2 linked regions of the Arabidopsis thaliana genome follow. The protein of the gene in region 2 interacts with the protein of the main gene of each other region in a pairwise test. Each region holds a gene or a part of one and is shown on either strand. Other genes may lie near its edges.

The links. The genes of interacting proteins can lie anywhere in the genome.
Region 1: the proteins of PAO3 (region 2) and AT5G19920 interact in a two-hybrid assay, tested with the Arabidopsis thaliana proteins (one large-scale study listed by BioGRID).

The regions. Positions count from the first base shown.
Region 1 is NC_003076.8:6,732,000-6,739,640, reverse strand, and holds AT5G19920 (Transducin/WD40 repeat-like superfamily protein), read left to right. Parts: upstream 1-2,144; 5' UTR 2,145-2,374; coding exon 2,375-2,557; intron 2,558-3,133; coding exon 3,134-3,863; intron 3,864-3,944; coding exon 3,945-4,101; intron 4,102-4,381; coding exon 4,382-4,426; intron 4,427-4,799; coding exon 4,800-4,965; intron 4,966-5,246; coding exon 5,247-5,617; intron 5,618-5,700; coding exon 5,701-6,019; 3' UTR 6,020-6,430; downstream 6,431-7,641. Other genes in the region: AT5G19930 (integral membrane protein (Protein of unknown function DUF92, transmembrane)), read left to right, coding at 358-506, 614-727, 1,008-1,230, 1,306-1,554, 1,638-1,769; MED31 (SOH1 family protein), read left to right, coding at 6,820-6,869, 6,949-7,046, 7,171-7,267, 7,362-7,440, 7,506-7,595.
Region 2 is NC_003074.8:21,823,782-21,830,006, forward strand, and holds PAO3 (polyamine oxidase 3), read right to left. Parts: upstream 3,729-6,225; 5' UTR 3,393-3,728; coding exon 3,353-3,392; intron 3,198-3,352; coding exon 2,990-3,197; intron 2,896-2,989; coding exon 2,782-2,895; intron 2,690-2,781; coding exon 2,602-2,689; intron 2,513-2,601; coding exon 2,427-2,512; intron 2,335-2,426; coding exon 2,232-2,334; intron 2,145-2,231; coding exon 2,047-2,144; intron 1,968-2,046; coding exon 1,538-1,967; intron 1,451-1,537; coding exon 1,151-1,450; 3' UTR 915-1,150; downstream 1-914. Other genes in the region: AT3G59040 (Tetratricopeptide repeat (TPR)-like superfamily protein), read right to left, coding at 1-138; PIL6 (phytochrome interacting factor 3-like 6), read right to left, coding at 4,408-4,527, 4,605-4,955, 5,049-5,114, 5,196-5,922, 6,044-6,114.

The sequences.
Region 1 (7,641 bases), on a different chromosome or scaffold from region 2:
GAGGGAATACGGATATTGTGATTTAAGTGGTGCCACGTCATAGTAGAAATCGATACTGGGGCCCATAGCTCAATCGGTGATTGGATTCTCTCCCGCGTTATCTCGTCTGTCCCATTCCGCAAATCTAATAAATGGCCCACGACTACATGGTCTAGATTAGATTAATATTTGTTTTAGCAAATCTATTGGGTCAGCCCATTTGAGGCCCATGTTTTGAGACCAGGTCCGAGCCTGCGTAACTAACATGTAACCAACACTTGAAATACATCAAATCAGTGAAGACGTTGGGGTCAACTACCCTCTCCCCGACGCTGAACTGAATCTTCGTCGTCAACAGATTCTCCGCCACTGGAAGAAATGGAAACGTCGCCGCAATTCAGACTTATCTTCGCCGTAATCATTTCTTCTCTCATCGCTTTCCGATCGTACAAGCGGAAGTCGCTCGATCTCTCCGGTGGAATTGCTGGATTCCTCGTTATGACCATTCACTTCACCGCCGGTTTCAGGTTTCTTCTCCTGTTTTTGAGATTTTATCTGTTATCTTTTTCGTTGAGAAATTGTTTTCAATCGTTTCCCGACGGGTTTGATCGGATTAATCTGCTGAATCTGAAAGGTACGGAGCTCTGCTGCTTGTATTCTTTCTTACTTCCTCGAAACTTACCAAAGTTGGCGAAGATAAAAAAAGACGCGTTGATGTTGAGTTCAAAGAAGGTGGACAAAGGAACTGGTACATTTCCTTTCTTTCTTTCTTCGTTTTTTTGTAGGCTCCGATTTTTGAAATTGTGAATTGTCTTTGAGAGTCTTTGATCAAGGAGGGGGAATGAACTCTAGATCTTTGAGAGTCTATAGTGAATAGCATTTAGTCTTACTTTCAACATCGTGTTGGTCGGTAACATGAAATTAATTTTCCATTGACATATTAGCAAATGATTTCACTTTCAGAAGTTGTTATTTATGACCAACAAAAGGTTGTTTTGACAGAAGATTCCTCAAATATCTTGTTTCAGGGTACAAGTGCTATGCAATAGTGGAATTGCTTCAGTTCTAGTTGTAATTGCTTGTACTTTAACGGGTTGGAAGGACAAGTGTTTGGACTCGAAGCAGTCAGAAATTGTAACAGCTCTTATTGGTGGGATCATTGGTCATTACGCCTGCTGTAATGGAGACACTTGGTCCTCAGAGCTTGGGGTTCTTAGTGATGCCCAGCCTCGACTAATCACAACGTTTAAGGTTTGTCCTGTTCCTTTTTTTGCAAGTCGCTAATGAACTTTGTCTGTTTCGCTTAACGTTTGGTCTCACTCACAGCCGGTGAAGAAGGGCACAAATGGTGGAGTTACAAAGGCAGGACTCTTAGCTGCCTTGGCAGCAGGCACCACTGTTGGATTAACATTCCTTATCTTCGGACTCTTTACCGCGAGTTGTGCAAGTGATGTAGCTCTAAAGCAACTCTTAGTCATACCACTCTCTGCACTAGCTGGACTATGTGGGAGTCTTATTGATTCTATACTAGGAGCAACCATTCAATTCAGTGGTTTCTGCTCTGTCCGGAACAAGGTAAAGTCTAAAAGAACATACATGTAAATACATATGTAGGATCGAGGGAAAAGAGTAGTTGACTGAATTTATGCATGGTGCAGGTTGTAGGGAAACCGGGTCCAACCGTAAAGAAGATTTCAGGTGTGGACATTCTTGACAACAATGGTGTGAACTTTGTCTCCATACTCTTGACATCTTTTCTGACTTCCATTGCTTCTGTGTACATTTTCTGAATGATGAAGCTACCAACCTGTTTTCTTGACTAGACTGTTTTAGATTTTCACCTTTTGCATGCCAAATTTGGTATACAAACATACTTTGATTTTATTTCTTAAATTGTTCATTTTGTTGTATGCTGAAATGAGAGTTTTAAGTTCATAGAAAACTTTGATCAAAAAAAAAAAAAAAAAAAAGTTCATAGAACACAGTCTCTTTTATGTTCAGTACAATAATCACAGCTACCAATGTAACTGAACATGTATTTGTTGTTTTGTTTAAGAGATGTATCACTGTGCTTCCGTCAAAGACCTCAATACTCGAATAAACTATAGGATTTTTTTTTAATATAAACAAAAAAAAAGGACACGCGATTTTTTTTTTTTTTTTTTCCACAAAGAATTTTTGCGAATCTGTGTTTACACTTTACACACTCTGGTTTTGTCAATGAGAGCACGGGAGCTGCACACGACTACATAAGCCCTAGTAAGTGAAGCGGCAAAACCGGAAAAGTTAAAAACATGAGGTTCCAAAATTGAAAAGACGAGAGGGAAAAAGCAATCCCCACTACGCACGATCGGGCGGGAATAAAAGGGTGGGAAGAAGACGAACCGAGTCTGCAATGGCTACGACGGCGATGAATAAACCTAAAATTGAACAAGGGGAAGAAGTAGAAGTAGAAGCAGAAGCGAGAACGTTCTCGACTCAAATCCCAGATGATAGAGAAGCTCTTTTAGAGTTTATGGACCAGCGTGCCAAATCAATCCAACGCCTTAAAGACCAAATCTCAAGTTTGGATAGGAAGGTCTCTTCTTTCTTCTTCATTTTTTTCGTTTTCTTTGTTTGGCTAATTCGGCGATGTGTTCTTCAGATTTTGGAATCTGTATCGCTTATTGTGTACTTCACTGAAAGTAGCGTTTCTCCGGGGTTTTTAGTTGCTCTTCTTGTTTCAATTTGAGTTCAATTTTATGCAAATTGCAGCTTTTCATATTCAGTCACCTCTACAGTATTCAAATGTCTAGGTTTAATTTCAGAAGTTTCCTTTGATCAATTTGTTTTTGTAGCTGATTTCTGTTGTGTTTCATTTAATCTCCATTTGCAGTTTTCAGATTCGATGCAGCTTATTGTATAGTTTTGTTGATTTGGGCATTTGCATTTGTTAGTTCACAGCTTTTAGGATTTTCCCATTTTGATTTTCTGTTATCGTTTCAATTGGAGTTCATTGCCATCTTCTTGCTGATAATTTTAAAGGACACCTAATAGAAACTCAAAAGTTTCCAGCTTTTTGTTTTCTCATGTTCTGCGTATATCTTCCCTTGGAATGTGCAAGCGAGAGTCTTACTGTTTGGTCTTCTTCTTAAAACTTCTGATGTATCTGCAGCTTGCTGAAGAGAGAAAACTGATGGCAGATGCGGAGGCTAAATTTTTACAAATTGATCGTGTTGGAAATGGTATCTTTTCTAAGTCAAAACCAAAAGCGCCTGGTAAAACTGGAAGTATACTTGGTATAGCAGAGTTCTGGAACGAGGGAAATAAGACGAAGACTGCCAATGAAAACTCTACTCCACAATCACCTAGTGAGATGGAATCCTTGAAATTGCCATCCATTATCTTACCGCCTTCTTTTAAACGAAGAGCTTCTGCTACCGTCAGAGCTGAAGTAAATGAGACCACCCAAGCTCAACCCATGGCTACAAGGGATTATAACATTCCAAGGGAAGACACATGTGGCCCCGAGGCCAAGAGACCTCGTAGTATTCCTGATGAAGTGGTAAGGGAAACCCAAGATCGAGATAAGGAAACTCAACCCATGGCTACGAGGGGTTATGATGTTCCAAAAGAAGATAAAAGTGGCCCTGAGGCCAGGAGATTGCGGAGTATTCCTGATGAAGTGGTGAGGGAATCCCAAGGTCGAGATAACGCAGCTCAGCCCATGGCTACAAGGGATTCTAATGTCCCAAAGGAAGACAAAAGTGGTCTTGACAAGAGATCTCGTAGTATTCCTAATGAAGTTGCTCAAGCTCCAGATAACCACACTAATAAGGATTTGGCAAAGCCAAGGATCAGAGTTTCTTCTAACATTTCTCAACAAGGACAACAGGAAAAATCTGGTAAAAGCCATTCATTTGGTCGATTTGCCACATCTTACCTTCTCATTGCTCTGAATCTATTGTTTCTTTTGTTCTTTACAGAATTCCGAGGACATGATGAGTTGATAGCACTTATAGGTAGAAGCTCTTTGCGTCCCACAATTGAAGGCCGTACTGCCGGCATGCTACCAAGTTGCCACACGAAAAGAATGAGAAGTCTTGCTCTTTCTCCTTCCAACCGTGAGCTATTTGCTACAAGGTGCTTTTTTACATTATTTATGTTTTTCTCTTTTCCAAAAGTGAATAGAAGATGCTACCTAAATTATTATCTGCCATTCTCCTGGATGAAATTCGGTCTCATAACTGTCGCTTGGGGCTTTGTCTGGATTTTTTACTAAGGAAATGATATTATATGCATAAGAGGGAATCATGGAACCAAGAAAGTCATTGGTCAATTAGCTAACCTAATATACTCTCGACTCATGTGCTTAATCTTTTTCTTTTCCCTCTCTTGATTTTGGTTTTTGGTTATGCTTCAGTGCATTGGATGGGGCTGTTCATTTCTGGAAGCTTCAGTCTGATAGGTAAGTCTCCTGTAAATATGCCTGATCTACTGATTATGATATTTCTTTCTGATTTCTTGGGGGTTTAAATGGTTTTAGGAGGGGTTATTGGATTATTCAACTTCAAATCCATATAGAATTCCTTGATTTTCATATGTATCAGAAATTTTAATTATGTATTTCTAGTTCCAGTTGACATCACCTTCATCCATCCACGTGATAAGTAGGCGAAATTTAGTTTCACTTATATTTGTCAACAAGCTGCAACGTTTAGTTGTACATGATCTTAAGAGATAGAGTTTTGTACAATTTTTTCTACTCTTATTTTCGTGAACATTTTAATCTGAATTTCGTTGGATACTAACCTATCCATCATGCTTTCACCATTGAGCAGGTCCACCGCTACTTTGTTTAAGACGGTTAATCGGGTAGCAGTAGATCAGAAGAAATGGGCAGAAGATATAGCTTGGCATCCACATAAGAATGCACTTTTCTCCGTGTATACTGCAGATGATGGTCACCCTCAGATATCAGCCATATATCTGAATGAAGCTGGAGAGGTAAAAGTATATGAATGCTGTAGCACATTCTAGCGTTTTACCATATTAAATTTGCGATTGGACATTCATGAGTGGAGTGTGTGCTTAAACTTGTAGAAAGTTAACTTGGTCTTCATAACCTGTTAGAAAGAAAAAAATCAATATAGCTGGAATAATTGGGAATTTGATTCGACCCTTGACTTATCTACTAGTTGTAAGATCTAACTTGATGGTTATAGTCTTTTATCCTTGGGGAAGTTAGTTATGTGCTCATTTCTTTTTGGATATCTGTTCATCTGCAGAGATGTGAGTCGCAATTTATGGAGGACAGGCCTCATAGCAAAGGTCTTATCAACAGAATCATGTTTACGCCTTGGGATGATCCTTGCTTCATCACAGGTGGGAGTGACCATGCAGTAGTGTTATGGCGGGATCAGTGTGAGAATAATGCGTGGAAGCCGACGCTTCTGCATAGGGACTTGCATTCGTCGGCTGTGATGGGAGTTACTGGAATGCGCCATAACAATCACGTCTTGTCATGTGGAGACGATAGGAGATTTGTTGGGTTTGATGCCCGAGAAGAAAAAGTCACATTTAAACATAGACTAGACAACAGATGCACAAATATAATGCCAAACCCGCGAGATGTTAATCTTGTCATGGTTAACACGAGGTAAAACTGACTCTTGATTTATATATATCCCAGAAGAAGCGATTGCCTTAAAGTCCGTTCTTTTGCTTGTGTTGTGTTTGCAGGCAGCTAGACCGGCAACTGCGGTTGTATGATGTTAGATTGCCTCAGACAGAACTATTTTCTTTTGGGTGGAAGCAAGAAAGCAGTGAATCGCAGTCGGCTCTAATTAATCAGTCTTGGTCTCCAGATGGTTTACACATCTCATCTGGTTCTGCAGACCCCGTGATCCACATCTTTGATATCCGATACAATGCACCGAGCCCGTCTCTCTCGATGAAAGCTCATAAGAAAAGAGTGTTCAAAGCCGAGTGGCACTCTTCTTATCCGCTGCTCGTCTCCATCTCATCAGATTTAGCAATTGGGATTCACAAGCTATGGTGAAAACTTGTAAAGCCATCACCTGAATTTGAAGGCCATTAACTTCTGAAACAGAACTTGTCTTGGCAAGTTGGCACAAGGTGTTGATTGGCAAGTAAGAACTGAGTACAGCACGCAGGCTGGATACGAAAACTGTCTTGGGAGTTGCATAGGTCAGTCCAGGGTCTGATGGCTCTTGTCTTTTGATTTTTTTTTTTAACTGTGGGAAACTCTAGCTTTTTAGCTGTCACATTTTGCGGGGATTACAACATTACAATGTACAGTATACATTTTTGAGGGCCAACTCATTGGAGCCAAATGTCCTCAGATTTTCTGTCTGCTATAATCCTCAACCATAGTTAGCATGACAAAGAGTTGCAACATCTATATCGATTGGTCACAAAAAAACTTTTGTATGATTGCATAAAGATTCCGGTCCATGTTTCAAAATTCAAGATTTGTCCTTGTGATTCATAATCTTGAGATAAGTAAGAAAGAGATTCATAACATGACTAAAAATGCCACCAAGTGAATCTTTGAATGTAAAGTAACTCCAAGTTTGGGCAGAGACTTCTCCATCTGCTACCGAGTATAACGGTTCTTTTAAGACCGCTTCTTGTGGAAAAAAAAAAAAAAAGACCGCTTCTTAAACCGTAATTTTGTACTAATTTTCCAATCTCTTTTTCTATTTGCATTCAGAACCGGTTTAGGCCTTTGGTTTATAACCAAAATTCAATTCAGAAATCAGAACCAAAATCCTCCGTCTACCTCCGTCTGATTCCTCTATTGGGAGAATCCAAATTTGCTTCAGGTTCCGTTCGTTCATGGCTTCGCCAGAGGAGATGGGTGATGATGCATCAGAAATTCCATCCCCGTGAGTGCATCTTCTTCCTCTTGTACACTTTCATATTCTTCAAATCTGCTCTTTTATTATCTAATTCGCATCTCTACAGGCCAAAAAACACTTACAAGGATCCCGACGGTGGAAGGCAACGATTCTTACTGGAACTTGAATTTATTCAATGTCTCGCCAATCCTACTTACATCCACTGTAAGTTTAGAATTCGTTCTATGGCTTAGGGTTTTAGTGTTCGAAATTGAGATTTAAAAAGGGATTTGTTCTAAGGCTTAGGGTTTGTACTTACCACATTCTGCTTTTGGTTACTGTTTGGCAGACCTGGCACAGAATCGGTATTTTGAAGATGAAGCATTTATTGGATACTTGAAGTATCTTCAATACTGGCAGCGACCAGAGTACATCAAGTTCATTATGTAAGTTGGAATATCTTATGGAATTGGTGTAGTCTTGTAGAGTCTTGTGAAGGTTTGGATAATATATCTTTGGTTTCCTATGTTCTTGTTACAGGTACCCACACTGCCTATATTTCCTTGAACTTCTTCAAAACCCCAACTTCAGGACTGCTATGGCTCATCCTGCAAACAAGGTACAAGAATACGATATGAATCATCAAGTGAAATCAGCATGTTAGTGAGCATTGTGAATAGGGAGTGGTTCAAAATGTTAGGGTACTGGTGTTTTTGGAATGTGTTTTGGGGACTTGTAGAGTTTAGGGTCTCTCTAGTACAAAACCTTGCTTACGTTCTGCTAGTTTGGTTCTGTGATTCTGCGTTTATGCCCATCTATT
Region 2 (6,225 bases):
TCTGAATCGGTTTTGGATTTTAACACCAACATTGATAATATTGTTCTGTAGTTTCCTCTGGCTGACACAAAGCAAAACACATGGACGAATTTGTAAATGAAAAACCAAAACTTTTAATAGCCTAAACGAAAAGAACATAAACCCTAGCAGTAGCTAAGCCTCAGATGATAAACCCATTTGGACACAGCTGCTAAAAAGCTTACACAATCAATTGAATTAGACGAAACCCAACACGGATTTTTGTAGAAATTTTGAAAGGCGGTCCCTTTTCCATAGAATTATCGAACCCGTCAATTGAAAACGAAAGAAAACTCAAGAACAAAAGCAAAGTCCAAAATGAAAGCTGTTCCAAAAAGGTTAAGAAGTAAAAAGTAGAAAGGAAGGAGAAAAGGAAACCTGTGATTACTTGATGGAACTGAAACAAACGGCTTGAAAATTACAGCCTGTGACATTTAAAGTTCGCAGCTTCTTCTCTGTCGCAGTAGCCGAGAGGAAGAAGAAGAAAGCTACTCTTCTCTTATCCTTTAAAAGTTAAAACTTCAAAGTGGATAATTTTTTATTTTTTCTTAATACTACTTCAAGTCTTCAATAGCATTATAAACCCTTTTTTAACTCAAAATTTAATTCAGTAATTAGAGGCGGGGTTTCATGGAAAATTGACAATGATGCCCCTCTGAGCACCTGCTATTTACACGGCCATACGACATGTTTAAGAGCAATTGCTGATTTGCTTCAATATTTAGCTGATGTGAAGAAGAAAGAAGACTCGTGTAGTCTCGAATTGTGTAAGGTAATGAACTAATGATTGCATCGATTTGTAAAGTCAGAAAGAAAGATGATCTTTTGTCTTTGATTTATATTGGTCCTTTAAGGATATGATACCAAAGAAAGGATAGGCTTTGACCATGCTGTGTAAAAGAAAGCTTCATTTGAAGTTTGCATTTGGCACTGATACTTAAACATAGTTCTTATATCAGATGGATTACATACTCCACATTGCACATTTGACTTCGACTAAAGATCTGAATCAGATTTGAAGGAAAAAAGAGTGGTATTGAATAGGCACAAGAGTTCCAACTAGTGAAATCTCATAAAATCAAATCTAACAATGTTCCCATATGGAGGTGATATAAAACACCTGAGGTTTAAATTACATACGGGAGATCAGAAGAGGGACAGAAGCAGGAGCTTCCTCTTCCATCTCATGTTCGAGCTCTCCATAGCGCTCAAGCACACGCATCCTGCAGTCTTCAGCTGCCAGCACTCCGGTTGAATAAGCACCGTGCACTGATCCCGGGTAGCTTGAGCTAGTGGCTTCCCCCGCAAAGAATAGATTATCCAATGGCACTCTCAGTCTCTCATAGAGGTCGTGAGGTTTGTTCACAATGTCATAGCTATATGATCCCAATGAATTGATGTCTGATCCCCACCTTGATACCAAATAATTTATCTGCCAACAGAAAACCCCATTAGAGCTTGTACATTGGCAAAACAATATAGCAACTCAGGTGAAAGAAAAGGTAGTTTGGAGCAGTACCGGTGAAGAGGCATCTGGAAGAATTTTCTGTAGTTGCGAAAAGGCAAAATTTGCAGCTGCTTCATCGGACTTTTTCTCGATGTCTCTAGCGAGCTGACCAGCCGGCATGTAAACAAGGACAGGATGGCTTGTGGCTTTATGCAGGTTCAAGAAATAACTGCATCCGTAGGAAGTTTCTGCAACGACTCCTAAAAACTCTACGTTTGGCCAAAAGACGTTGTCAAAATTCAATATGATCTTGTTCTCGATTCCAACACCGAGATCGTTGATAGCTTCTTGTTTCCACTGTGGAAGCTTTGGTTCGAATGTTATCATTCCTGACTTTAAGACTCCTAGAGGAAGAGCAATGACTGCAGCATCCGCAACAAACGTGTCTCCTTTCTCTGTAGTCACCTTCACACCACTGTAGCGCCTTGAAATCTTGGTAATTCTGACAAAACAAAAGTCCAATAAGGTTTTAGCTGCAGACTCGTTAAATGGTGGAAACTCCTTCGACAAATGAATCGTACCTGTGACTTAGTCGTATATCAAGACCTTTCGAGAGAGTGTTGATTACAGGGCGATACCCTCTAACCATAAGACCATGTCCACCGGGCAACAGTTCTTCCTGTGAATGTTTCAATTAACAAATCACTAAACGGGGACATACCTCAACCACTAAACCGAGGACAGACATAGAAGTTAAGTTACTAACCTGATCCCAACACTTTGCCGAGATGGTTTCAGCATCAGCAGCAAACCATCCTTCCATGCGGCACAAGTACCACTGAAGCACATTATGGGCAAGTCCCTCCAACCTATAAGTGAAAATCTAATTAAGCATGCAACAAATATAAAAGCGGATAAGTAACAAATCAACGGAATGAGTTGAGACAATATGTTTCCATACCTCAATTCAGGGTTCCTCTTAAATACAATAGAAAAGGCTTGAGCTATTGACATGTCTTCGTCCTGCTCATCCCTGACTTTACAGATCTGCATTTGTGAAACAACTGTTTAGTAAATCAAAGAGGCGCAACATCCATAAAACATAATAAAAGAGAAAGTGGACACCAAGTACACACCTCTTCCAGAATGTGCTCAAAATTTTCGCCAACTTTTGTCACCAACTCTTGAGAAACTTGGTTACCAGCCTTGTCGAACAGAGCATAACTGCAGAAAACATAATTGCGCCATGAGTTTCCAACAAAGAGAGAAGATTACTTAATATACACATTTAGAATATCCACAACGGTTGTACACACCTCTCAAGATCGTGATCATACAAAACCGAATTGTCACCGCTAGTACGATAAAGAGGTAATCCTAATCTACCAATTACTGCAGCCAAAGGATTCTCTTTACAGACACCATGCAACCTGTCACAAAACGATATTGCTTAGTTGGCATCGATGACAAAAGATCCAAACAGCAATCAGTGAAAAAGATAGGTTGAAGGAGCCATGATATTACCAAGATGCACCGAGATCAACTGGAAAACCAAATGAGTAATCAGTGTGAACTCGTCCACCAATTCTGTCACGAGACTCCAATACAACAACCTGAAAGGAAGCATCCTGAAGAGTGCGAGCGGCTGAAATTCCAGCCATACCACCTCCAATCACTATCACTGAAGGTGATCTCTTCTTCTTCATCTTCTCGTCTGTTGAGACGCAAATAGCTGAAACACCAACGCAACATATGAAACAGTTCAGGGCACAACAGAAAATAACAAAATTCGGATTCATGTAATATAACTGAATAACTTATTCATTATCAGACAAAGTATTAAGATTTCATAAAAAAAACAAAAATCATAAGAAGTAAAGATGATACCTTTACGCAGCTGACGATTAGTTTTGCCTCCGGACTCCATGATTCAACAATGAACGGAGTAATTACTCTCAAGATTATTAAAATTAGTACTACTATTACACAGCGATAAAGGATCTAACGATTTCTGCTCGAAAAGAAAGAGAGAAATCGGCAATTGAGGAGAAAAACTAAGAATTGAGATCAGAAGACTCGTATTAGTGAAGTAGCTTGCAATCGAAGGATTAAAACCTAGTTTTCTAAAAAAATTCATGCGATTTTCTCTTATCTGTTTCTTCCACAGAGATCAACGAAGATCAGATTCGAATGCGTAATTTGAAGCAAAACAATGAGAAACAAAATCAAAGAGCGATAGAAAGAGAGAGGCTCAGGAGTCGGGTCGCAGCTTTTTCTATTAATAATCGTGTTTGTTTTCAGAGTGCTGATTTGTAAGATGCTTATTGGTTGACTTAATTAATCACATTCTATACGTTTTTATTATTTTAGTAATTTTTTTCTGCTTCGCTTTAATCGGAAACCTACACGCTCGAGTATGTGATTAGGATAAACTCGCTCCTCTTGTAAGACACGTGTCACTTTAGAAGGACATAATCGGTAATTTGATTTCACCGTTAACTTGAGGAAACTAAAAATCGAGTAGGTATGGGACTCGCTAGTCGTTACGTACGAATCGTGGTGGAGTAAACCACGTTAGCGTTTTCCGTTTTTTGTATAACGTATGCGTTTTGAGCAGTAATATGGGTTAATGTTCATATTCATAGACCCAAAAAAGCCCATGATAATGTCAAATGCAGGCCTAGTCTATCCTTTTTATTTTGTTTTTCTGATGAACCTTGAGAACAAATATAAAAGTATTGACACATGTATGATCTTTAGGTTCCCAACACTTGATTGATACTATAATTCAACTGTTTAAAAATAAGTTATAAGTATGAGACTAACTTATTAGATCTCTATAATACATTTGACTTAGCTTTTATGCTTGCTTAGGCGACCAAAAATAAATAACAATCACCAACTGTAAGAAGAATAATTTCGGAGGAAAACTATATGCCAAGTCAGCCTATTTTACCCATATGAAGACTGTCGGTGGTCGCCGGTGCCGACAGTTGACTTTGCGGTCCCGCCGGAGATCCAAATCCCAACATGTCCGCTGGTTGTTGTTGCACGGTCTGCATCTAATTTAAAACATGACACGTCAGATATTAAATAAATATATTTGTCTTTCTTCAAAACGATGCCGTCTGCAACTGACCTGATTTCCCGCCGGCGGCATCTGGGGAATCCCGCCCATGTACCTAGCGAGCTGCTCCGATAAGATTTGGTTCTGTGCTTGGAGCTGCAACTGTACCGGGTTTTGACATACTAAACCGGGATGGTTCTGCGGAGCGGACCGGTTCATAACCGGGAATTGAGACAATTGCATCTGACTTTGCATAGCCATCTGATTAATGTATGGAGATGATTGTACCCCGGGAAACATCATCGGACTTGCTGCTGCTGCTGCCGCCGCCGCCATTCCACTTCCCATCCACATCACTTGGAGTTGCATTTGAAGTGATTTTAAGTAATCAATTGCTTCATCCAATATCGAAGCTTTATCTGTCTACACAAAAAAAGAAGAAGACAAAACCATATTTAAACACACCAATCAATTACAGCTTAATTAACTCAGTTTTTTTGTGATGAAAAAACTTACTCTGCTGCAGTGAGGTATGAGTTCTTGAAGAGCTTTCATTCTTTCATTGATCCGATCTCTCCTCCTCTGTAATTAATAGACAAAGATCACATCAGAATTATTATTACTGAATGGTTGATCAACTAGTCAGAAATAGTATATGTATACCCTTTCTGAGAGATTATGAACTTCAGCTGCACGGCTTCTTCGAGTAGATCCTGACCGTTGGCTCGATTTGTTACCCATGGTTTGATCATCGGTTGAGGTCAAACCTATATCTGATTGAGACACAGATTCTTGATCAGCATCCATAACATGTTTTCTTTTACGGTCAATGGTTACACTTGTTCCACTAACGGTTTCTTTGTTGTTCCTTCCATAGCTGCAACCGGAGGAGCCACCTGACGAAGTGTCAAGTCTTTCTTCGACGTTCTTGCTTCTATCACTCATAGAAACCGGAAGTGTAGTGGCCTGATGAATATTTGTTGACTGGTTGCTGCCGCAATGACTCGGTCCGACTGTTATAACCGAGGATCTAAACTTAGGAGGAGCCATGGCTTGAGCCTCATGCTTAACTGTCTCTTCGATCGTTCGTGGCTTCTCAGGACCTCCGAGGTGATCGATCGAAGAGAAGAAATGAGAGGAGAACTCGGATTCGAAAGGGTCGATGACGTCATCCGGAGGGTATTGTATCCAGGAGACGGTTTCTTGATCATCTAGAGCAGCGTAGTTAGGCTTTTGTACTGTTTCTTGGTTGTCAAGAAAAATATTGTTGGGTTTTCTTAGGGTTTCTTGTTTGTGGGTTTGGACTTGGACTGACGGTTCTCTACGAGCTTGGCTTTGTAAAACCACTTGACCATCTCTCCACAATAGCTCCACTAATTCATCTTCTGGTCTGTCCCAACATATGAATGTTTACAAACATATTTTAAACAAACAATACTTAAATAGCTATGATTAAGATGTGAAATTGGTATATAATTATGAAATACTTGAATTGGAAAATTGATATATACCTGATTGATCTTTTATTAGTGGACATGTGAAAATTATCTTCAAAATTCCAATCAGCAAACACTTGTTCCATGTCAGATCTGTAAAGACACTTAAATAAAGAATATATTACTTTTTTGTAAGTGAATAAGAAATGATTTGATTCATAATTAGTATAATGATTAACAGGAGATTTGAGGAAAAA